3 linked regions of the Arabidopsis thaliana genome follow. The protein of the gene in region 2 binds, or shares a complex with, the protein of the main gene of each other region. Each region holds a gene or a part of one and is shown on either strand. Other genes may lie near its edges. The genes, in order: KIN11, KING1 and AT2G28060.

Region 1 (8,499 bases), 6.9 Mb from region 2:
TGGTGGTTGAGGTATAGAACCGTCGACAAAACCGAACTTCTTTCTAGCTTTCAAAGCCAAGCATATGTTGTTGGCCCATTCGTCGTAGTTTGGACCACGCAACAAAGGCTTGGAGATCACGGTTCCGGGGTTCTCACCGGAAGTTAAATCGTATGGAGATATTGTACGGCGATTGGTGGTGGAGGTTATCAGAGCCGACGACGTAGCAGAATTCGTGGCCATGATTTTCTCCTTTGTGAGATAGTTTTAAAAAACAGAAAATAAGAAACAGAGTTGTTTTAGCGGAAGTTTAGATCATAGAATCGAACAAACCCTTGAGTAGTTTAGGTTTTGCTCTGATACCATGTCAAGAAACTCTTGTTTGTATAAACTGAATCTCTTAGGGTTTTAGGTTACATTGCTTGGTTTATATATAGGTTACAACTTGAGCATAAAGTTAACCTATTCTAAATATCAAAACCGACTAAGCCCATAGGCCCAATATATTCTCCCTCGTCATCTCAAAAATTCAAAGTTGAAGAAACTTATTTCAGTTTGCCCTCAAGCACAAGTAACTTTTAAAGAAGGAATAATCCATGTGATTGGAGAAGTCTTGCGGCCCACGAATAACAAGTGGAAGTGTTTTTCCTTAAATTGGCAGAAATTTAGGCAACCAGGAGAAGAAGGCTATACACACTTTTTCTGCGAAGGTGGCAGAAATTTATGACGGTGTTATGGACTATCATAAGGATACATGTTTTGCTTGTCCTTGGTTGTGTAAAGCTGGTTTCTTCTATGAATGTAGTAAAGAATGATGTTGTTTTCTGCTACACATGCAATGCGCCAAGATTTCTGAGCCACTAGTCCATCCAAGTCATTTGCATCCTTTATTCCTAACAACCAAACCGGGAGAGAAGCGAAGACATTTTTCAGTTTGCAAAGAGCTAGGACATTATTCCAGAAAGGAAACATTCAATTGCATTGAGTGTGACTACTTTTCTTTGTGTTTCAAATGTGCTACATTACCTCATAAGGTAATGTATAAGCATGATAAACATATGTTCACTCTTTCTTATGGGGATGAGATAAGTACAACGATGTATTGGTGTGAAGTTTGCGGTCCGAACCGACTGATGATGAAAAATCAGCAAAATAAATCCGAAGGAGCGGTTTTATGTGTGATGAGTACTGTAGTGTTACCCTACACATTCAATGTATGTTTGGGGTGGACTTATCCTTGAAGCCCGATATATTATTGTCCGACGGCGACCTATTTACTCCTTTTGCAAGAAGCATTGTCCACACAAAGTAGCTCTCCAATGTTCTGTATTAATATCGTGTTCCACATCTTGTATTGATGCTAAGGACTTAAGTTGGGTAGCCGAATTTTGTGAAATGGAATTTTGATGGACTCTGCGTGCAATGTTTTTAGGTATGACATGTATAATGTGTCTGATATAAACGTTGTATAAAATTGGCATCAGAGGAGAAATACAATAGTTAGAATGAAACAGCTAAGTTATGTACACATGATCAAACCTTAAAAACCATCAAAAAGAAGAAAGGATAGTTACTATTACAGTAGAGTTTAACTTAGAATCCAGGTATATAAAAGTAACCCGGCAAAGTAAACACTGCACCCACATATTATATTATGTTCTCTACTATTACAAACCATTGAACATGAAAGAAAAAAAATGTCTCAACAAATGGTTAAAACATTCAGATCACACGAAGCTCTGTAAGAAAGGCGGCGCATAGATCCAAGAAGAGAAACTGCGGACCGTTAACTCTCTGTATATCCAGCAAGTACTTCTCTTCCCGGGCTTTGTATAGCTGTTTCAAAATCAAAAGTGAACTCAGAAAGTGTATAATTGTTCTTCGAAAACAGTTGGTTCAAGTTCTAAAGAAGGTTTTAGTCTATGTCCTAGCTGGTTTAGTTTTGTTGAACTACTACTAGTGGGATAAAACAACATCAGGATCTTAGTCTTTGCTCCAGCACAATTCTACGAATGTAAACCCCGTTGATCGATTCATATCCCTAACAAACCGAACTAGGCAGTTGTTTATTTTCTCCAAGGAATGTTGTTGATACAAATGTATGTGTGAGTTTATAGTTACCTGAAGTTCAAATTTGATGACAGTGGGTGAAGTCATGGCACAGTCATCCTCAATGATGCTGGATTCATCTCTGAAGTGCAGCTGATTGTTGACCATAGTATTCTGACCATCAGCTAAACCAGGAACCCATCGACATTTCATGTTGTAGTGACCAATCTTCTTCCAACACACATTGAGTTCTTGAAGAGCTTTCAAAACTTCATTCATGATTTCACGAGGATGCGCATGAGACTGTTCAAAACAACAAGGTAACAGAATGATTATCGATTTGGCTATGTAGAGGCAAAGAGTACAGATATCTGATTGTGTGTTGCATTCAGAAGACTTTATGGTGAGGAACAAAAAGAATCAGTAATCAGGAACAAACCTGAAGTCCAAGAGCCCATTTTCGATCAACAGGGACTTGTGATCTTGCTCCCAACCCGTAGTGATCCACATGTGCAGGAATCCAGTGGCCTACAGGTGAAGCGCCCGCTTCAGGTGTGCGCATAGGATTGGAACCACTGTCCTAGATGAGTAACGTTGAAAAGGTGAACATGTTAGTCAAAAATGTTGGAAAGCTATCTACTGAGAGGAAAGAAAAACACATACTGTTGTCTCCTGAAACTCGGATTCTAGATAGCCACTTGGAACACGGAACCGGTTATCCAATAACAGGTAGTATGTAACAGTAGCCTGGTACAAGGAGCAAATGGCATTTCAGTGACTATTGGAAACTAGTTTCGGGGATTAAAAGCATTAGAGACAGGAAACTACATACATCGTTTTGTGTTCTGTTGCGTAGAGATTCCAAAACCTGGTTTCTATCAAATCCCATGTTAACCACTTCTTGAACTATCTCCTCATTGATCTGCAAAACATAAGAGATATTGTTACTATCACAGCAAGTGAACTCTATTAATCTCCAAATGGCACTGAAACCAACCTTTTTAGCCTGCTCTACTGTATCCGGTGGAGAGACAGCAAGATAACGAGGGAGATGAGTCTGGAACCAACGGTGTTGACGGATCTCAGGAATGGTGATTCGTTTCACCGGGTCAACTATAAGCATCCTTGGGATCAGGTCTCTAGCCTCAGATGATAAATGACTTGGAAGAGTGTAAATCCCACCCTAAAGAGAAAAAAAACACCTTGATAAGTTACTTCACATACATATGAATCCATTTAAGAAGAGTCTTTTAGCTGAATCAAAGTATAACGTACAGTACCTTAATTTTCTTGAAAAGGTTGGGAATGTTTTCATCATCAAAAGGAAGAGTACCGCATAATAGAGCGTACAATATAACTCCGCAACTCCATACATCTACTTCAGGTCCAGCATATAATTTACCTGATATAACCTACAACAAGAAGTAAGAGATAAGACACTCATAAGAGAAACGAGACATAGTCACATAGGTGAAAAACAATTCAGTAACTTTACTAAACTATATACCTCGGGAGCAGCGTAGTTGGGGCTTCCACAACTCGTCTTTAGAAAATGACCATCCCGCATAACATTACTCAACCCAAAGTCTGCAATCTTAATATTACACCTCGAATCCAATAGTAAATTCTCAGGCTTCAGGTCTCTATGGACAACCATATTACGATGGCAGTACTCTACACCAGATATTATCTATTCGGATATGAGTCAAACACAAACAACACTCAAACTCAAAGATGACATGATACGCTACAAACACACTGGTTATGGTAAAGAGAAAACAAACCTGCTGGAAAAAGTTACGAGCCTCATCTTCTTGTAATCTGCCTTTCTCAACAATATAATCAAAGAGCTCTCCAGACTTGACATACTCCATCACAACATAAATGTCACTCGTGGTCTCTATTACCTCATACTGCCGAATAATATGAGGATGCATAAACAACCGTAGAATCTTAATCTCCCTCCTCACTGTAAAGAAGAAATATACATACATTAAGATAAAAATACATACTAAAACCTAATAAGCAGAAACATTTGATTATCAAAGCTTTTGTTCTAGAAACCACTAAAGCTAAAAGTAACGGTGCTTGTATATACCTTTCTCTTCCATCTCCATGTTCTTGATCTTACGACGATTAAGGATTTTGATAGCAACCTTATGCCCTGTGACAACATGCTCTGCTATTTTCACCTTCCCAAAAGACCCAATTCCAAGAGTTTTACCAAGCTTGTAATTCGGTAAAATCGATTCCACTCCATTATTGCCAAATCTATTTGATGAATGATCCATTTCCTGTGTCCCAATTCAACATCAAACTCATAAGTAAGCTCTCTTAGCAACTTCTCTATAGAAAAACATCAGTAAACATATTAACTTGCTCAAATAAAAAAAAACATTCTTCAACTCAATTTTCATTTCATCAAATCTAATCTAAACCAACCATAAGCTTGTAAGAAAACTGACAAGAACCACCGACATAACTACTTTGTAATGGTGGTTTTGGTCTGAAACCAAACAAGAGACTCACAAGTTTGAGTTTAGAAGACAAAATTGATAAACCTTTACAAAGAAAAAAAAGTCAATTTACCTGAAAAGCTTGTTAATTTCGAAAACCGTCTTGGAGTAGATCCGAGAATCAAAAACCCAGATAAATTGTTCAAACAAAGAGCGAAGAAATATACAGAAACAAGGAGAATCAGATTGATGGGTATAAATAGGGCAGAATTGTAAATTACGATGTAATCTGAAGAAATTCTTGGGGAAGTCAGATTTCCAACTCGTAGGTGACGCAGAGCTGAGTCAGGTTTTTTTAAGTCTTCATGGTGAAAATTGGTAATGACGAATCAAGAAACCACAAAACCCAGATAAACATTTATTGCCATTTGCAAGCCCTTAAATTAGGGCCTTTTTGCCCATTTTCTGTTTTTGTTTGAAAAACTAGTTTTTTAAGGTTTAAAATTTTTATATTACTGTTTTTATGATCTATATATACATTTTTGCAGCCACTTTGTGAAATAAATCCTAGAGTTGGAGTTTATTTACAGTGGCTGCCACTCGCATTTAATAATTGTTTTTGATAATTAGAAAGAAAATCTTTAAATTAAATATTTGACAATCTTCCCAAAATCTTTCCACATTAACTACACGATTAGTTACTAAAATAAAACTTCCGAAATATTTAATATCATTTAATTACTACAAAATTATCATTTTTGATATTGTTTTTCTACATGACTATAATAATTCGATTATAATCATCAAACCGCAGAGATATTAGATAGCATTTAATTACTACAAAATTAAAAAATATTTAGACAATGATTCATAAACATATCATAAATAAAATCAGTGAATTTTTTTTACGGGACGGATTGGCGGGACGGGTTTGACAGGACGTTACTTAATAACAATCGTAAACTATAAAATAAAAATATTTTATAGATAAATATAATTTGCAAATTTTTATATATAGTAACTTTAAAAAATAAATTGTCTCCGCGGTATACCGCGGGTTAAAATCTAGTTTTCTATATATAAAAGCGTGCTAATGATAAAGCGGATAAATTAAGAAGTTTCAGACGCATTTTATTATATAAAGTAGAGTTTTTAAAGTTAATAACTCAACTGATCGTGACACGTAACAAGTCAATCGTTCATATGTTGATATTGTGTCGGATTTTTTTTTACTTTTTTCCTAAAAGAAATAGGCAATTTAACAAAAACAAATATTTACATATACTAATTTATATGTCTATATCTAAAAAAAATAAGTTATAGTTTACTTAACTAAGAAGGGAAACTAACAATAAGATGGAGTGTATAGAATTAAATTGTATTTGTATTGCAAAATCGAATTGTATTTGAAATGTATACAATCAAATTTAATTGTATTTGTATTATAATAAAATAGATATTTAAATTGTATTGCATAATCGAGATTTTTTAAATATTTTTTCTAAAAGAAATAGGAAATTTAACCAATAAAAATACATACACCAATTTATATTTCTATATCTAAAAAATTTAACTTAAAATTTTCTTAACTAAGAAGGAAAACTAACACAATAAGATGGAGTGTATAGAATAAAATTATATTTGTATTGCAAAATCAAATTGTATATGAATTGTATGGAATCGAATTAAATTGTATTTTTATATAATAAAATAGATATTTAAATTGTATTGCAAAATCGAGATTTTTTAAATATTTTTTCTAAAAGAAATAGGAAATTTAACAAAAACAAATACATATACCAATTTATATTTCTATATCGAAAAATTTAACTTAAAATTTTCTTAACTAAGAAGGAAAACTAACACAATAAGATGGAGTGTATAGAATAAAATTGTATTTGTATTGCAAAATCAAATTGTATATGAATTGTATGGAATCGAATTAAATTGTATTTTTATATAATAAAATAGATATTTAAATTGTATTGCAAAATTGAATATGTAAGATTGAAATTTGGTTTAAGGAAATACTAAATTAAATACTGAAAAGTATATGAATTATTATTTAAAATTTAAATATCATCAATAAGATGGATGTAGTCTATAGAATTAAAACAGTTTATTAAGATAAAATAGATAGTTCAAATGTAGAATAATTGCTGAGAATGCCCTTTTCACACTACCTTTTTCAGTTATACCCTTTCATATTTGACATTTTCATTTCTACTTTCAGTAAATTTTTAATGACTATTTTACCCTTATTTGGAAATTGTTTTTTGCCTAAAATATTCCAAATAAATTTCCTGCCAATAAAATACCATAGTTTTTGTTTTTGAGCATTTTTTTTAATACACCTTTTACACAGAATTCATTGTATATACTCGTATATAGCTTTCATTGTATTTAACAACTGTATAACCATAATACAGTACTGCTTCCAACTGTACAGTATAGATACACCGTATAAGCCGTATTTTAGAACACTAGTGTTTTATAAATGTATGTGGAAAGTTGAGCCTAATAGTTAGGCATGTCAACTAGAGATAATGCTCGTATGCTGGCCTGGCCTTACTCTAAAAACAGCGAATTCGGGTTAAATATATATATGTCTTGAAAAATTTGCTCTTTTAGACTAAATGTTTTTGGAGCTTAGTCCGGCTAGGATCGGATCGGACAAAAAGTCCTACATAAATATTTTGATATTTGTTTTGTTAAATATTTTTGTTAATATGAAAATTGTTTTACAAAAAAATTTGAATTGAAAAACCTAAATCTAGTTTTCTAATTGTGCCTTACATCTTTGAAGTATTCTGATTTTATATTTTTATTTAGTATAAGTTTAAACAATTTATTGGATTATTTCTTTGTTTTTAAACTTTTTCTTTCCTTTTTTTTTGGTTCAACAAAACTTTTATTTTAAATTAACTTAGTTTTAGTGGTTATTTAAATTTTGATTGACTCATGTCATACATATGTTCTTTCTTTTTCAGAGATATTATAAATTATAAGTTTGTTTATTCGAAATAAAAAGCCCGGAAAAGTCATGTAGCCCTATTATGGTCAAATTGGGCTTTAAAATATAGGATTAGAAGTTTTATGGACCGGGTCGGTCTCGCTCTAATATATGTAGGTTTGTATGTCTTAATTGCATATTTCTATATACTTTATCTTGTATAGATTTGTATCTCTTAATTGCATATTTTGATTGAAATTTCATTTGAATAATTGAGTAGAAAAATCATAAATTAATTTGAAAAATATATATATAAGTAAACTAATGCAAATCTGTAAATATTCTAATAAATGTTAGGTGTATAATTAAATGGATTGAGAAGCTATGTGAGAACGACATGTTAGCATGACATTTTCTTTAATTACACATGAAAATAAGGTTATTTCTAAAAAGTATTTCTCAATTAATATATAGGGGATTTAGAATGTTGTTCAAAGTTCTTACCAGCTATATAATAAGCTCGACTTTGGTTTTTCTGTTCGAAATCTCAAAGCACCAATTTATAGTCTAACTAATTAGCTCTTAAAATCATTCGATCAATTATTTAAACTTTATGTGATTTGTGTTATTATATTTTGAACTCGATAAAGCAAGCTACTTATGAAGATAGCTAGTGAAGAGGTAAATAAATTTTCAGATTCTGGGGTAGAGTTAGAGGTTTTTCTATTCAATGACATCCTTTTTCTACAAGTTTTGTTAAATAGCGGTATGTATAAAATGACTACATGTGAAGTTGATGTATAAAACGGTCATAATTTGAAAATTAGAGTATTGAATGACATATTTCCCGTTTTGGTTACGGTAAAACGATGTCGTATTGGGAACTAACGGAGACTAGTTAACGGCTGTTATCGAGTCTGTTACGCCAGATAACGTCAAATGGATTTTGGCCTAGTCAACGATTAAGTCAACAACGTTCCACATAAATGACTCTTTTGAGCTCTAATTAAAAACGGATGACAAAAAAAAAACGATTAAATTTGTGTAAAATCTCGGTCAACG
Region 2 (7,610 bases):
TAAACCAACAACACAACTAGTCATTACAAAAGTCATATATAATGTTAGTGATACAATCACGATTCACATTGATCGCATAATATTTGATTGCTCTGTTTAATGTAATGCTTGTAATTAGAATAATCTAGAGTCTCCTCTCTTATTCTTATTCTTGTATAAATATGTTGATGTACATAACCCTAAATATATTAGAAAGACATTTTTTACATGGTATGAGAGCTTTGTGACATTCGTTGCAGTAATTAATTGGAAGCTTGCAGTACATTGCCTTCACCAAATTTGATATTGCCTATGCGGTCAATCGTTTATCACAAATTATGCATCGTCCAACGGAAGATCATTGACATGCTGCTAAAAGAATTCTAAGCTAGCTACCTTGATGGGACACCCACTCATGGCCTCTTTTTCTCGGCAAACAACAAACTCATTCTTCATGCATATTCAAATGCAGATTGCGGTGAGATTCAGACGATTATGTACTCGTACATCTTGTTAGTGCACCTTCAGTCAGGTCAAACCAGAAGGAGTGTTGATTGCTGGAACAAACTGGAAGCTGTTTCAGAAGATTAAAGTGAAGATCAAGTAATTGATGCTGACGTGGATATACCGCCAAATGAACGAATGACGTGGAGATCACAACAGAATGAGTTCGGTTTGGAAAGAAGATATTCACGCAAAGATCTGGAGTGATCCAAGATCTTGAAGACTAACCTAGAAGACCAAAGACCTCGATGATATAAATAGAGGTGCTAAGGTGCTTGCTAGAGTTGGCCATGATTGTGAGTGAAAAAGCTAGTGCAACGCTTTTCATTGTTAGAGACTAAGGTTTAGTCTGATTGGAATTCTAGAGAGATCAAAGAGTGTGTTCTTGTGATATACTCTTGTGTGTTTAGAGAAATCTCAGGTGACAAGATATAGTAGTTTAGATCTTGTGTAAAACCAATTAAGGTAGTTGTAAACTTCTTAATCAGATTTCTAATAAAGTGATACTCAGTGGTTCTTAGTTTGGGGAATACGATTCTTGGTTCATCCGGAATTTCACATCTACCTAGGACGACGAAACCCAATATCTTGGACAACCAAGAAACGGAAGGGGTGGCAAGATCATCTATAGAAGTAGAGTATAGGGTTGTCGCAAACACGGCCTCTGAACTAAGTTGGGTATATATGTAATATTTTCACATAACTTGGAATTACTTTCAACACACCACTTGTTGTGTACTGCGACAACGTCAAAAATATCTTCCTTTGTGCTAATCCGGTCTTACACTCAAAGATGAAGCATATTGCTATAGATTATCATTTCATCCGTGGTTAAGTTCAACAAGGTGCTCTCCGAGTAGTTCATATCAACACAAAGGACCAATTAGCAGATGTGTTGATGATTGGAGTGTCACAAGCCTCTCCATCTTGAGGGGGCGTGTTAGTGATACGATTACGATTCACATTTATCTCATAATATTTGATTACTCTGTTTTAGGTAATGTCTTAATTGAAAAAAACTAGAGTCTCGTCTCTTATTCTTATATAAATATGTTGATGTACAAAACCCTAAATATATGAGAAATAGTTTCTTAACATGTTCAGGTCATCTATAAGGCAAGTAAAACACATGCTTAAGTCATAAAATAGAATCTAAAGAGACATTATTCTGAAATGATCAACTTGGTCTACTTAGCCTAATTTTAAGTCAATACATACAAATTTGATCTCTCTAACTATATTTGTTTTTCTCTTTCTAGTGTTCTTTTTCTTTCCAATATATATACATAGCATATTTTGAATTCTTTTTGTTTTATGGAGTAACGTCAAATATTATAATAGCCGCATATAAAATTAGAATTTATTAAATATTAATTTATAACTTTTTTATTGTAGACAATTATTTTAGGAAAGCAAAGTATATTTAGACGAAAATAGTATTAGGATGAATAATTTTTTGAAAGTCCTAATGTTGCATATTTTTTGTTTTGGTGAACAAATTTCGTGTTGTAGTTCTTAAACATCTATACTATTAATTGGGAATCATTGAAAATAAACAACCTTACGAAGGGTAAAATATTACAAAAATACTATTGATTGTTAGTATTTTTAAATAAATTCTGATTAATTTAAAATAATTATAATTATGCTTTACATTTAGAAATATATAAACAATAAATTGTACATACTTATTTTGAAATATTTTGGTTTTCTTTTTTCTTTTTTTCAACCTGATTTTTTTTTAAATAAATCCATAATATATTATTGAACAAACTTTTGAAATAATGTAAACTAATACATTTTTCATTCAAAACAAATTATCCAACAAAAATAATTTGGATTATGAGTACTATATAAAATAATTTGAAACCAAACTTGACATCAAATTAAATATCTAACTGGTATGAGTTTGGGTTATGAACACTATATAGCATGTACGTATTTTGTGACACAAATTCTATTTGTGATGTTTACAGGTTGGTAGTATTTTTTTTCCACATATACAGACGGGTTATGAGACGAAAAATTTATGATACATACATCACAGGTTTTCCATTCCAAGAAATATAAGTCAAATATACGTTTTTATTTTCTAAACTAATCAAAACATTATAACTGTTATAACAGTAATCAAAACATTATAACAGTTTGATTACTGGTGTAAAATAGGATATAAATTTGGTTTTAGTTTGGGTTATTTATCTGTGTGAATTCGGATCTTAAAATATAATTATATACCAACATAATTGAATTTCGATTATTATTCTTAACTTTATAATATTTATACTATTACAAAGTTTAATTATAACAAAATATTATATATTTTAAAAATCTATTTAAAAAGTTCTATTTTATATGTATATGAGATTTCAAATATCTAATATATTGTATTATAATATATATTACAAAATAAAAAAAAATAATTTACATTGAATTAAAAATATGAATCCGCACATACGTAAAAGTTAGGATCTAGTAATTTGTATAAAAAAGAAAGAAGAAGATAGTTATCCATTTCATAGGTCGGCTGCTAATTTTTGGCGGATTTCTAATAATTATATACAATCCAATTAAATAAATGAAATATGTCGTGGAAAGTGGAAACTATATAAAGGATAGAGATAAGTACGACTTCGACAAATGGAGATATATTATCATTATTATTATTATAATCATTATCTTTCGCTATTCCTGACCAATACCCAAATGATCTCCGCTACTCTTTCCACGTGTCAAAAGCACTGAATTGAACGGATGAGATCTTAAGTCACTAACCAAAACAACACTTGAATTTTTTTATAACAAATCACAGTTCCACCCAATGAAATCCATTTTGTTTCAAAATAAACCCGTATCTTTATAATGAAACTGAAAGATTCAAGGATGTTTTTGATAAATTAAAAACTATGTAGGGCTTCATTCATAAGATTTAAGACAACAGGGTTTATGAATTTGTCTCTGCTTCACGATCTCTCTACTATGGTGTACTGTATCTTTCAATCTATAGTTCAGTTACAAAGATCATCACAGCCAATTTTAGAAAACTTCTGACGGAAAATAAAAAGAGAGGATTTATTTTTATCTTTCTGTGTTACCGGAGAATAAAGACGGTACCTTTTCACTGTTGACTTAACGGAGAAGATGGCGACTGTTCCGGAGATAAAGATAATGAGAAGCGAGAGCTTAGGTCATCGGAGTGACGTGTCGAGCCCGGAAGCTAAGCTAGGGATGCGTGTGGAAGATCTCTGGGATGAGCAGAAACCACAGCTCAGTCCTAACGAGAAGCTCAACGCTTGCTTTGAGAGCATCCCTGTCTCTGCTTTCCCTCTCTCTTCTGATTCACAAGGTATGAGGATTTTGATGATGTGGGTGTTTGACCATGAGCTGATCTATAATTGGAACTGGTAATTGTGTTGAATTTGAATCATGTTCTATGGAGATTGATTTTGATTTTTGTGATGCAATTATTGATGGGTTCTGTGATCTCTTGGTATGTGTTTGTTGATGACTTGTAGTAGGAATATGTGCTGTGTGTTGAAATTCAAGTTATTGAAAGTTTTATAAGTCAGAATTTGGAATTCAATCCAGCTTGTTGGATACTCGAATCAGTTCGATTTAGGGAATCAGAATTAGTTCTTGATGGTTTTTGTTTCTTAGTCTCCTTGTAGAATCAGAGTACTTATTGATTCAGTTCTGCTGTCTCACATCTTTGTGGTTTCCCTATATAGATATTGAGATAAGATCAGACACAAGTTTGGCTGAAGCTGTTCAGACACTATCGAAATTCAAGGTCTTGAGCGCGCCTGTTGTAGATGTTGATGCGCCTGAAGATGCCAGTTGGATTGATCGCTACATCGGTATTGTGGAATTTCCAGGCATTGTTGTCTGGCTTTTGCATCAGGTAATTGTTCTCCAAAAAATACGAGAGGCGACTTGTTTTTGTCATGATCAAATTGGATTGTGGTACCTAGTGAACTATACTTCATGTCTGTACTCTACTTGTCTCCTTTAAAAAACAGTTGGAGCCACCATCTCCAAGGAGCCCTGCTGTTGCAGCTTCAAATGGATTTTCTCATGATTTCACCACCGATGTTCTGGATAACGGAGATTCAGCAGTAACTTCTGGAAACTTCTTTGAGGTCCTTACTTCTTCAGAGCTATACAAGAACACCAAGGTGAAGCTTGTTTTTTTATGAAGGACCTGATTTCAGTTGACTTTTTTCTCCTGATTACGGCTTCTGAAATGCGTTGGATATTCTCTCTGACAGGTTCGAGATATCTCTGGAACATTCCGCTGGGCACCGTTCCTGGCTCTGCAGAAAGAGAACTCCTTTTTGACCATGCTGTTACTTCTTTCTAAATACAAAATGAAGAGCATCCCGGTGGTTGATTTAGGTGTAGCAAAGATCGAGAACATTATCACACAATCAGGAGTTATACATATGCTGGCAGAATGCGCGGGGCTTCTCTGGTTTGAGGATTGGGGAATCAAAACTCTCTCTGAAGTCGGTCTTCCCATTATGTCAAAGGACCATATCATAAAGGTCAGTTTGTAATCTAACTCATAGCTCCATTGAGAGTTTTTTTTTTCCTTTTTTAACAGATCATTATTTCTCTTTCAGATCTATGAGGATGAACCAGTTCTTCAGGCATTCAAGCTGATGAGGAGAAAGAGAATCGGAGGCATACCTGTCATTGAAAGGAATAGCGAGAAGCCAGTAGGCAACATAAGCCTTAGAGATGTTCAATTTCTCCTCACTGCACCTGAGATCTACCATGACTACAGGTTAATACTTCACAAATCCTTGTGATGATGATACACCGAGTTTTGCAGCATTGTCAAATCTTCAATCCTTTCTCTCTCTTTATTTTAGGTCAATCACAACGAAGAACTTCTTAGTATCTGTTAGAGAGCATCTTGAGAAGTGCGGGGATACATCAGCTCCTATCATGAGTGGTGTGATTGCTTGCACGAAGAACCATACACTAAAGGAACTGATCTTGATGTTAGACGCGGAGAAGATCCATAGGATATATGTTGTGGATGATTTTGGTAACCTTGAAGGACTCATCACTCTTAGAGACATCATTGCAAGACTTGTCCATGAGCCATCCGGCTATTTTGGAGATTTCTTTGATGGTGTTATGCCTCTTCCCGAAAACTACCGAGTCTGAGAGAAAAATGGTATCTTTCTTCTGTAAATTGTCTTTTGTTTGGTGATAATGCTTCTGTCTGTTTGTGCTTAAGTTCTCGAAATTGTGTTATTAACGTTTAACAGAAATAAGAAAAGAAGAAAGAGCCTGTCTTTGAGTGAATATGTCTGAAATACAATAACTCTTAAGATTCTCGGATTTGGCCCTACATTTTGAATTTGAACAATTAGGTCTCTGGTTGGAGTAAGTGTTCTTCGAACTTGATCAAGATCTCATCCATCTCTGGTTGATGTTTCCTGACCTGAAAATTTTGGTTTCAGACAGATTTAGATACCAAATGAGACTTCCCATTACAATCACTGTAGAGAAATTTCATGTGGAAATCTAAGTGGCTTTAATTACTTTGACGTTTGCCATGGATAAGAGCTTGTGAGAAGCTACATAGGCAACATCTGAGTCATTTGGTCTCTTTTCCACAAAATAGATTACCTCAGCAACACCAGACTGCAAGAAAGAAAACCGAAATGACAAAAGTCCATATGATTGTGATGATCTACTTGCATCAAATTGGTTAATTGGACTAACTAGAACATTTGGTTTTTATATGACTGCTTAGCTGAAGACATTGACCATAAAAGATTACTAGAGTAGCTTATTAAGGATCCAAATTTGACAAATCAAGCCAATGGTATATAGAACAAACCTGTAAAATAATCTTGGCACATTCATTGCAAGGGAACATTGTCACATAAAGCTTCTGCAAGAGATTCGAGGAGCACAAAACAAACTCATATAAACCATCCACACACAAATACTTCGGAACAGAAACTGCAGCAGAGTTCCCTAAGTTTTCTATACCAAATAGCATTTCCAACTTATTAGCTTTTGCGCAGAAACCTAAAAGAGAATATTCTGACAATGATCTTGTGTAGGATACTTTAAAAGTTTTAATCTTTTCACTCAAGCCAGAAACACCATGATTTGTGAGAAAATAAACACTGAACAAATTCCAAAGAAACAAACCTGGCCAGCCGCCGATGCGTGGTTTGTGTTTAGTATGGCATTGACTTCAGCGTGACAAACATATCTACAAAATCAGAGTCATGAACATCAGAGCTTAGCAATGAGCCTAAACGGATGAGAACTGAAACATCTCACCGTATTACAGATTCCCAAAGAAAGTGTGCACAATACTCATCAAACAAGAACTTAAAGATTCAGCCATAGTTTGCATCACTAAGATTAGTACTTACGGATACTTGGTCTCTAATGGGTCCCCAGTTCTTGATTTCTGCAAAATTGGTGGGGAGCAAATTAAGAGAAAATTAATAAATCTAGGGGAGAAAGTTCCTTGCATTATCTCTAGACAACTTCTGTATATTCTTAGAATTCAGATGAAGGTAATACCTTGGCCCAAGGAAGTTTGTCATCAGAGCAGCCTCTTGGAAAACCATTATAGCCAATCCCTAAATGAAAGATGAAAGTTTTTGAGTCCTCGTTTATATGTGTCTCGCATGTACCAGCTAAGTGACAAAATGAAATAAACTATACAACCACACTTCATGTTGTTCAAAGAGATCAAAACACAAGTGTGATCGTATTATCTTACCAAGGATTACACCATTTTGGCTCACCAAACATGCGCCAACCTGCACAGCCATAAGACCGGGAAAGATAGTCAATTTTTGAATGCATCCAACAAAATCCATCCTTTTTGCATCATATGATCCATCAGAAATGGATATGAAATTGCCACAAAAGGAAGATATAAATTTCGAATTTGTGAACCTTTAGTCAAAACTATACTCTAATCCTAAAGACCTTAAAGTCCATAAACTATACTCTAAATGTGCTAGACATCAAAACACCAATGCATCCATTCATTACAAAATCAGCCAGTGCGATATCTTAACACCGAAAGAATACCTCCACTTTGATGATAGAAAACTATATAGTATCATGAACATAATACA
Region 3 (7,418 bases), on a different chromosome or scaffold from region 2:
TTTAAGCTTTTTTGTTCGTTTAAGCTTTAGATATCTGAACAAAGGTTTGGCCTAGTGCTTTTCTTAATTATGCAAACAAATTGCTGACATTTTAAACGATATAATACAAAATTTTGAAATATCTTGCTCTTTTTTGGTATTAGTATCAGCTTTTCTTCTTTTTATTTAATGATATTAATTGAAAAGAAAAGAAAAAGAAAGTGATATTTGGTTATCTTTATAATCAAGCATGAAGAAACCAGCTACTTAAAATAAGAAAAAAATATTGTTTGTATGATAAATGGCTTACAGATTTTTTTTCATTTTTTCTCGATGTTAACGTTATTTGAGTAACTATTTACTATCTGAATGGGAAACACTATTTGGTTTTGTTGAAATTGGTGGCAAGTTTTAAGTGGGCTTGAAGAAGTAAAACGGCCCATACACAAATTTGCAATTATTTCCCTCTTTCCGATCATTTTCCTTGAAATCGTTCACGTGATCCATGATACTCCTCCTCCATTGCCACTCTATTTAGCAATTTACTCTTCTGCTCTCTTTTTTTTTTCTTTCTTTCAAGTTTCACCATGCAAAGACAGAAAATATAAGAAAATGCTTCATTTGGTATTCTTGGTTTTCCTATAAAATGAATATATCGACCTATCCAAGGCTAGTAGCTTGATTTTTGTAGTGGGTAACTTCAAAAGGAAGAGTCTCTCAAGACCAGGAGTTTGGTTCTCGGCGGTGGGAAAATGATTCATTTAGCCTGTTTTTGTTTGTAGTTCAAAAATCTACGTACCAAAACCCCGAAAATTTTGGTCAACCAAAAATAAAATCCGAACTATATAACTGCGTTATCATCTATTCGGCACTACATAGGAACTTGAGGTAACAAACTTAACATTTTCTTGTTTTTCTACTACAAGAAAACTGTCCAATTTTCGACCATGAATTTAGTCAGAAATTGGTCAAAAACAACCCTGAATAAAAGCAATAAAGAAGAGTTATCCAAAACTAAAAATTTGAATAAAAAAGCATAGAAAATAACACATACTTTTGCATTACATACGTCTTCATAAATATAGACACCAAAAGAATCAACACATCAGTCTTATTTGTATAATTAAATTCTCAAAATAGAAGAGAAAATAATCAAGGCGATATCTTGGACCGGGAGGTAACTTTAGATGAGGAACACTTAATGGAAACAAGAGGCTGATAATTTACAAACCGGCTCGGAGCGGATCTTGGTCGGAACCCTTTAGGCATACAACTCTTTACTTGTGTCCCATGAAAAATCTGATTCCTCGGATTCAATTTGACCGTGTCTTCGACTGATAAAGGCATCATCGACGAGCTTGGAACACTCTCCAGTGGTATTAGTCTCCCTCCAGCGTACAAGAATAAAAGGTTTAGAGTGATAATGACAATATGAACTCTTGTGTTGAACATTGGGTTTTAGTTTGAAGTAATTATTTTTGTTTTTTTGAGAGAGTTTGGAATGATAATGTGAGGGATATATAAGTGGGAGGAGATATACACTGGTTTAGGGTTAAAGTTCATAAATGGGCTCGTGAGTGATGGCTGGAAACATAAGAGAGAAGAGTAAGTAGGAGAGGACAGAGGCAAAATGGCTGGAAAATGGTATTAATCAAAATACGATTTTATATGTGTGATAGAGATACAAAAAAGTGTTGATGGGGTCGGGAAGATCAGAAAGAGGTAGGAAAGTCCGTGAGTTTCAGAAATTACAATCAAAGATCAAACATTTGTCTTTGCATTTATGAATTATGACACACTCACACGCAATTTTCTATATTTTCAAACTATTGTTTCTCTTGTTTTAAAATGGTTTGGAGATTGGACATGGATTTTTAAATATATATATTATTATGTACACGGTTGCATGGGTTTTCGGGACTATTGGATTTTGCTTTCTTTTGGATAACAAAAACACGATAAATATTTCATTAAACCATACAAATCTTCGATTGATAAATACATATACGAAAACATACCTAAGGAAAAGGAATCCATTGTTGTAGGATTTAGGTACCATGCGGTTTTCCAAACCATAGAGTAATCTCATATGTATTGAAATTTAAAAAAAAAAAAATACAAAGAAGAACTAAAAAACAGAAAAAAAAAACTAAGAAAATAGGGAAATTAAGTTGGAGTCTCTTTAATTTGTTTTTTTTTTGTCATCTAGAGTTATTTTAATGTTACCATGATGAAATACTTGATAAAATACAACATTAAACCGAAAGAAAACGAGATTTTTTCGAAGTTTAAGCCCTAAGTAAAAAAGTCATAAATAATACTACAAAGCAAGAGGAAAAAAGCAATAGTAGTTGAAATCCCACCAAAACTATAAGTCGCATAGTTCTTGAAGATTATTTGAAAGAAAAGTATCGCGGATGCCCACCACCAACCAACGATACACAAGTCCTCCTATTGAGATGAACAACAACCTTCAGATTTCAGAATTTTTAAGCTTTATAACCTGATAACCACTGCCCAAACTTTCTTTCGTATGTGGTGATGTCATAAATCGACAAGAAACAATAAACATTAAGATTATGTGCCTTCATTGGATCATGGACTGAAAATTAAGCTCTTCGATCAACTAAAACAAATTTATCATCATTGTTTTCATACTCGCTGCTAAGTTTGCAGGGGAGTATTAGAGTCCACAACTAAAACAAGTCCAAACCCAATGTGAGGTCTACATAAGTAGAATTTTAACAAGTTAGAAGATTCATATAAACAATTATGTAATGAGAACTATGATTGTAACTTTGAGAGAACTCTCTTCCTTCATCTTATGAAATATCAAATCTAGAAACATTGGCTTTTGGTGACAAACCTTAAGCTCCTTTACATTTTTCTCTTCTTTACATTTCAATAAAGCTCACTAGAACTATTGCATTTCTATCTTTATATAATAAGCTCAATGAACATCAATCTATATTTGTCTTAAAAATGTCAAATAAATAGAAGTTTCATGAAAGGACCAGACCTCGATCAAGTCTGAGAAGCATAGACAAGGAGTGAAGATTTAGTCTCGATAACACCATTCTTAAGAGACGAAAAAAGGTAAAAGATCGAATCGCATAGAATCAAAGAAATCTTCACATATTCAGAGGAAAAACAGCATGTCTAGCGAACACTAGAGTCGAACAAAAGCAAACCACCAATCACACATCCTTATTTGTCAATTATTTATTTTGGAAACTAAAAAGAAAGTTAATGAGTAAAATAGTTTCCATAAGAAGAAAAAAAATGTTTTCTGAGGAAAGAAAATGTTTTCGAAGGACAGCAAAGTTTAAGCCAATAAGCAAAACAAAAGCTGATGCTTGTCGCGACTGTGTTCGTCAAGAATCTCCAGGACGAACCCAATCTTCTCTCTCGAAGCTGTCTAAAATTAATCAATCAATCATTGAGCTAATCATATTCTAGGTTAAGTAAAAACAGAGTAAACCCTCTCTTTTTTTCTCTTTCTCTGCCTTTCTCAATTTCGTTTCGTCTCCTTCGTTCTTCCAATTTCCGTCTGATTTTATACGAAATTTGCATTGATATCGAAGTAAAATCGAATACCCATGATTCAAAATTTCATTTTTTATGCGACTGATTCCTCAATTTTGATTTTCCGGTGATTTCTAGGGTTTTCTATTAGGTGGGTGTTATTTATCATTTGATGGGTCATTTACTGATGATTTTGCAGGTTTTTGTTTTAAGGATTTGTGTAGACTTTCATTGCTGCTACGTTTTTGAAAGGGTAATTTGAAGGGCTTAGCTTCCCAAAGGTGAGAATTTTAACTCCAGTTTGGCTTCTGATATTGTGTTCATTGTTATGTATTTTTAAGCTTAGTAGTTGTGTTTTAAAGTTGTTCCAGTTTGGTTGATAAGTGTGTATGTGTGTTCATCAGATTGGGTGAGTACAGTTCTTTCATTGATATCTCCAGTTGATTTGTGGGAATTTTGTTCTGTGTGTATAGGATTTAGACCTCAAATATTGGATTCTCTTTAAGCATTTAAGTGCCTGGTTTCTTCATCATCACTTGATAGGAGGACTTTACAAATTTTATTCTGAACATGGAATTTGGTTAGCCGAATAACTTCGTGGGGATTAGTTTCTCGTGCAAGGAAATTCTTCATGGTTCTGTCTTGGAAGTGTTTGGAATCTTGAAGCTTGATAGATTTTCGATGTAGGCATGATGCGGTTTTCTTATAGGTTTAAAGGGTCTTTAGCTGAGATATGGTTCCTATGGTGTGTAATAGGTTTAAAGGGTCTTTAGATGAGATAAAACTGTGCAAAGAGTTCATATAATAAATGGTTAAATCCTATATATTATCTGTTCAGTGTACATAGAGAAGAATTAGCTGTGGAATTTGGATGTACATGATAATAACAATGTAGTTTATGTCTTCCAACTTGTCTCTGTTGTGATAATGATCAATGTGTTTCTATTCTAACTCCTGTGGTCCATTGATTTTTGAATCCTTTGTCCACCTTAGTACTTTCTTCGAAGAAGGCATGGGAAAATATGATTCTCTGGTCCAACTTTCTTAAGACTGTCTGCATCTTTGGATCCTTAGATTTGTCTACGGGATTATGAATTATTTGACTTTTGATACCGATTAGACAAAAGTCTTACATTTCACACAAATAAGAGTTTGCATCATTGTAGAGAACAACATTGTTTTCATTTCTGCTTCAGTGTTTTTGAGTTGAAATGTAAACACCTCTTTCTCTTAGATTAGTTTGAATGGCACTTGAGCTGGTGTGACCTACATTCATTTTGATTGTTTACTTTGCATGCTATTGCGGTTTAGTTATGATTATATTTTGTTTCAGGCACTAGGTGGCAATCTTATCCAAGATGAACAGTCAAAATCCTGATGATCATGTAAGCCAGCTAAAACACCTTTTTGCCTTCAACCAACTAATCGAGTAATTTCCAGTCTCCCGCTCGATTTTTCAATCTTTTATCGTTTTCTTAAACATAGGAGGACACAACGGTTGTGGGATTTGAAGTACCTGTATCACCGGTTTCAAGTTACAACAATGTGTATTCCTCAACCGAAGATGAGACAAGAGATCCTCCAGCAGTACCGCCACACCTTCAACACTCTCTATTAGGCAATCAGGGTAGCATGGAACTGGCTTATGCGCCACAGAATGTTGTCCTGAACCACCTCTATATCGAGAACCGAGACGCCCCAAGATCTGTTGTAGCACTCGGTTTCTCGCATCGGTTCAGGACTAAGTTTGTCACTGTGGTGATATACAAGCCTGTCCAAAGAAGAGGGAGCGCCAATGTTTGAATAATGATACCTCTTTTTAAGTAGTGTTGGGAATTTGCTTCTTTATGGATTGAATTTGGTATACAAAACCATCTGGTCCGTACTGAATTTTATTCTTCTCTTACAGATTCGATTTAGACGGTTTCTAGGTACATTCGATTGAAATCATCTTCTTGTTCGGAGTTTATATAAAATCTCCATGCATTTTTATTTTTTAGGCCCAAAAAAGCTGATAGACGTGGGCATTGTTTGTTTGTAATAACTCCCTTAGATTGGGTTTAGTTAAACGAGCCCAAATATCGCTAATGAAGTTCTTTACTTGCTCATATGTAGTGTTACCATAAATTATTTAAATCTTTCGTAGCTCCAAAAAGGAAAAAAAAAAAAAAAAATCTTAATCAAAACTTTCTATGTCCGAGATAAGTTACCAAACTAATGCTCTAAAACTGGATTGGATCGTCGGATCAATGCATTAGTCTAAAACTGGATTGGATCGTCGGATCATTGCATTAGTTCGGTTTGAATGTAGATCACTTATACTCTCGTTGTTTTTAATTAAGTGTAGTTTTAAGGTTTTTTATTTTTTTTTAATATAAGTGTTGTTTTCACTTTTCTATGCAAACATTAAATGTATTTAATAATTTTTAATTAATTATATTTTTTTACTGGTTGGATTAGTTGTAATTAATGATGTTTTTATAGGAAAAAGATAAATTAAATAAAATTTGTATGTTTTCTTAATTTGTGTGCAAAAACTTTAAACTACAAATATTCAGTAACAGAGGGAGTATATAAAAACAAAGTTGGTTTGTGCATGGGAGCTTATTTGCACAAAATTGATTAAAAAATGGGTTCTGGATATTAATAAGACTATGATTAATATCCAGAACCCTATATTTTTTTCAATTTCATCGAAAGTTTCATCAATGTAACGTTAAAACAAATTATACATCTTACAACCGTCAGAAACTACTTTAAATCCATGATATCACATATATGAAACTAACATTATTATTTGAACAAATTAAAAAACATTATATTACGCATTATAACATTGAAAAACAAAACAAAATAACTAATATAGAATAAAATAAATTGTATCCGGATTGGAAATTGCTTATCTGATATTTTTTTTAACCGTATTTTAACTTAGAACAAAAAAAACAGAGTGTAGGGAAACATAAATTCTACCAAATTCGAATATATAAGAAAAACATAAAAAAAAATTAACAAATAAATTAAATAATGGAAAAAGCAGATAGGAGAGCTAATGGTTTAGTGGCGAATCTAAATTCTGTCCAAAGAATTGTCTGACCTCCCCTAGCTCAACATCTTGGGAAGAATATTAATTTATCCGTTTTGTTCATCCGCCTAAAGAGATAATTTATCTGCAAAGTTTTTTTATATTTGTAAAGTCATTCGGTTTTGCCAAGTTTTACTAGGTCTAGGTAGATTAAAAAGTAAATTCGGTTTGAAAGTTATATTTGGGTTGGATTACTGTCCAAGTTACGGGTATACCGGTCCAAATTCAATAACACATCCAATAAAATTTTCGATCTTAAAACATCTTCTTTGACCTGTCCGGATAGGTAAATGTCTAAATCTCTTTTTGAAATTAGGTATGAAATCTCATAGAACTAGAATGTAACTCCAAAATGATTCTTGAACATGAGTGTGACTAGCCAAGAGCATACCAAATTTAAGATCATTATGATATGTCCAAACTCCAAATTTAAGCCACACTTATTTTCTCAAAATTATACAGAACTATGATTTACTAAAATTGGATTCTCTGTCTATTTTTGGTATAGCTATTATCCTAGTGAATTAGCACAATGTTATTATATGCGCTCTCTGCTAAAAGTAAAAACCAGCTATCTTGTCAAAACAAAAATAAAAAGTTTCTTAACCAACACATGAAACTGATAAATACTATATAATATAAAATTAACATATATCGCTATCAAATCATATATCGTAGGTCCATAATCTTTCTTTTAAAATTCATATGAGTCTTTTTAATTTATTAATTTTGTCGTGCTCATAATGTTTTCCCTCTAAATCCTAGTTTTTGTAGTTTTCTGCTATGCAGGTATTTGTAAACAACTTATATTTTTGGAAATTTGGACTCT

Evidence for each region.
Region 1: KING1 (region 2) and KIN11 share a complex: the UniProt entries of both Arabidopsis thaliana proteins name them as parts of the probable heterotrimeric complex.
Region 3: KING1 (region 2) and AT2G28060 share a complex: the UniProt entries of both Arabidopsis thaliana proteins name them as parts of the probable heterotrimeric complex.

The regions. Positions count from the first base shown.
Region 1 is NC_003074.8:11,127,192-11,135,690, forward strand, and holds KIN11 (SNF1 kinase homolog 11), read right to left. Parts: upstream 4,915-8,499; 5' UTR 4,766-4,914; exon of another isoform or gene 4,618-4,765; intron 4,323-4,617; 5' UTR 4,320-4,322; coding exon 4,127-4,319; intron 3,998-4,126; coding exon 3,813-3,997; intron 3,719-3,812; coding exon 3,536-3,718; intron 3,441-3,535; coding exon 3,309-3,440; intron 3,212-3,308; coding exon 3,026-3,211; intron 2,951-3,025; coding exon 2,861-2,950; intron 2,776-2,860; coding exon 2,692-2,775; intron 2,609-2,691; coding exon 2,468-2,608; intron 2,332-2,467; coding exon 2,101-2,331; intron 1,816-2,100; coding exon 1,702-1,815; 3' UTR 1,429-1,701; downstream 1-1,428. UniProt on the Arabidopsis thaliana protein: Catalytic subunit of the probable trimeric SNF1-related protein kinase (SnRK) complex, a central regulator of cellular energy homeostasis, which, in response to seemingly unrelated darkness, sugar and stress conditions, activates energy-producing pathways and inhibits energy-consuming processes.
Region 2 is NC_003074.8:17,983,935-17,991,544, forward strand, and holds KING1 (SNF1-related protein kinase regulatory subunit gamma 1), read left to right. Parts: upstream 1-3,443; 5' UTR 3,444-3,624; coding exon 3,625-3,829; intron 3,830-4,211; coding exon 4,212-4,384; intron 4,385-4,502; coding exon 4,503-4,658; intron 4,659-4,751; coding exon 4,752-5,027; intron 5,028-5,105; coding exon 5,106-5,269; intron 5,270-5,357; coding exon 5,358-5,658; 3' UTR 5,659-5,829; downstream 5,830-7,610. Other genes in the region: AT3G48540 (Cytidine/deoxycytidylate deaminase family protein), read right to left, coding at 5,864-5,938, 6,040-6,141, 6,341-6,394, 6,661-6,724, 6,891-6,928, 7,045-7,103, 7,247-7,286. UniProt on the Arabidopsis thaliana protein: Regulatory subunit of the probable trimeric SNF1-related protein kinase (SnRK) complex, which may play a role in a signal transduction cascade regulating gene expression and carbohydrate metabolism in higher plants.
Region 3 is NC_003071.7:11,948,063-11,955,480, reverse strand, and holds AT2G28060 (5'-AMP-activated protein kinase beta-2 subunit protein), read left to right. Parts: upstream 1-3,227; 5' UTR 3,228-3,438; exon of another isoform or gene 3,439-3,703; 5' UTR 3,704-3,785; intron 3,786-4,837; 5' UTR 4,838-4,862; coding exon 4,863-4,889; intron 4,890-4,989; coding exon 4,990-5,307; 3' UTR 5,308-5,610; downstream 5,611-7,418. UniProt on the Arabidopsis thaliana protein: Regulatory subunit of the probable trimeric SNF1-related protein kinase (SnRK) complex, which may play a role in a signal transduction cascade regulating gene expression and carbohydrate metabolism in higher plants.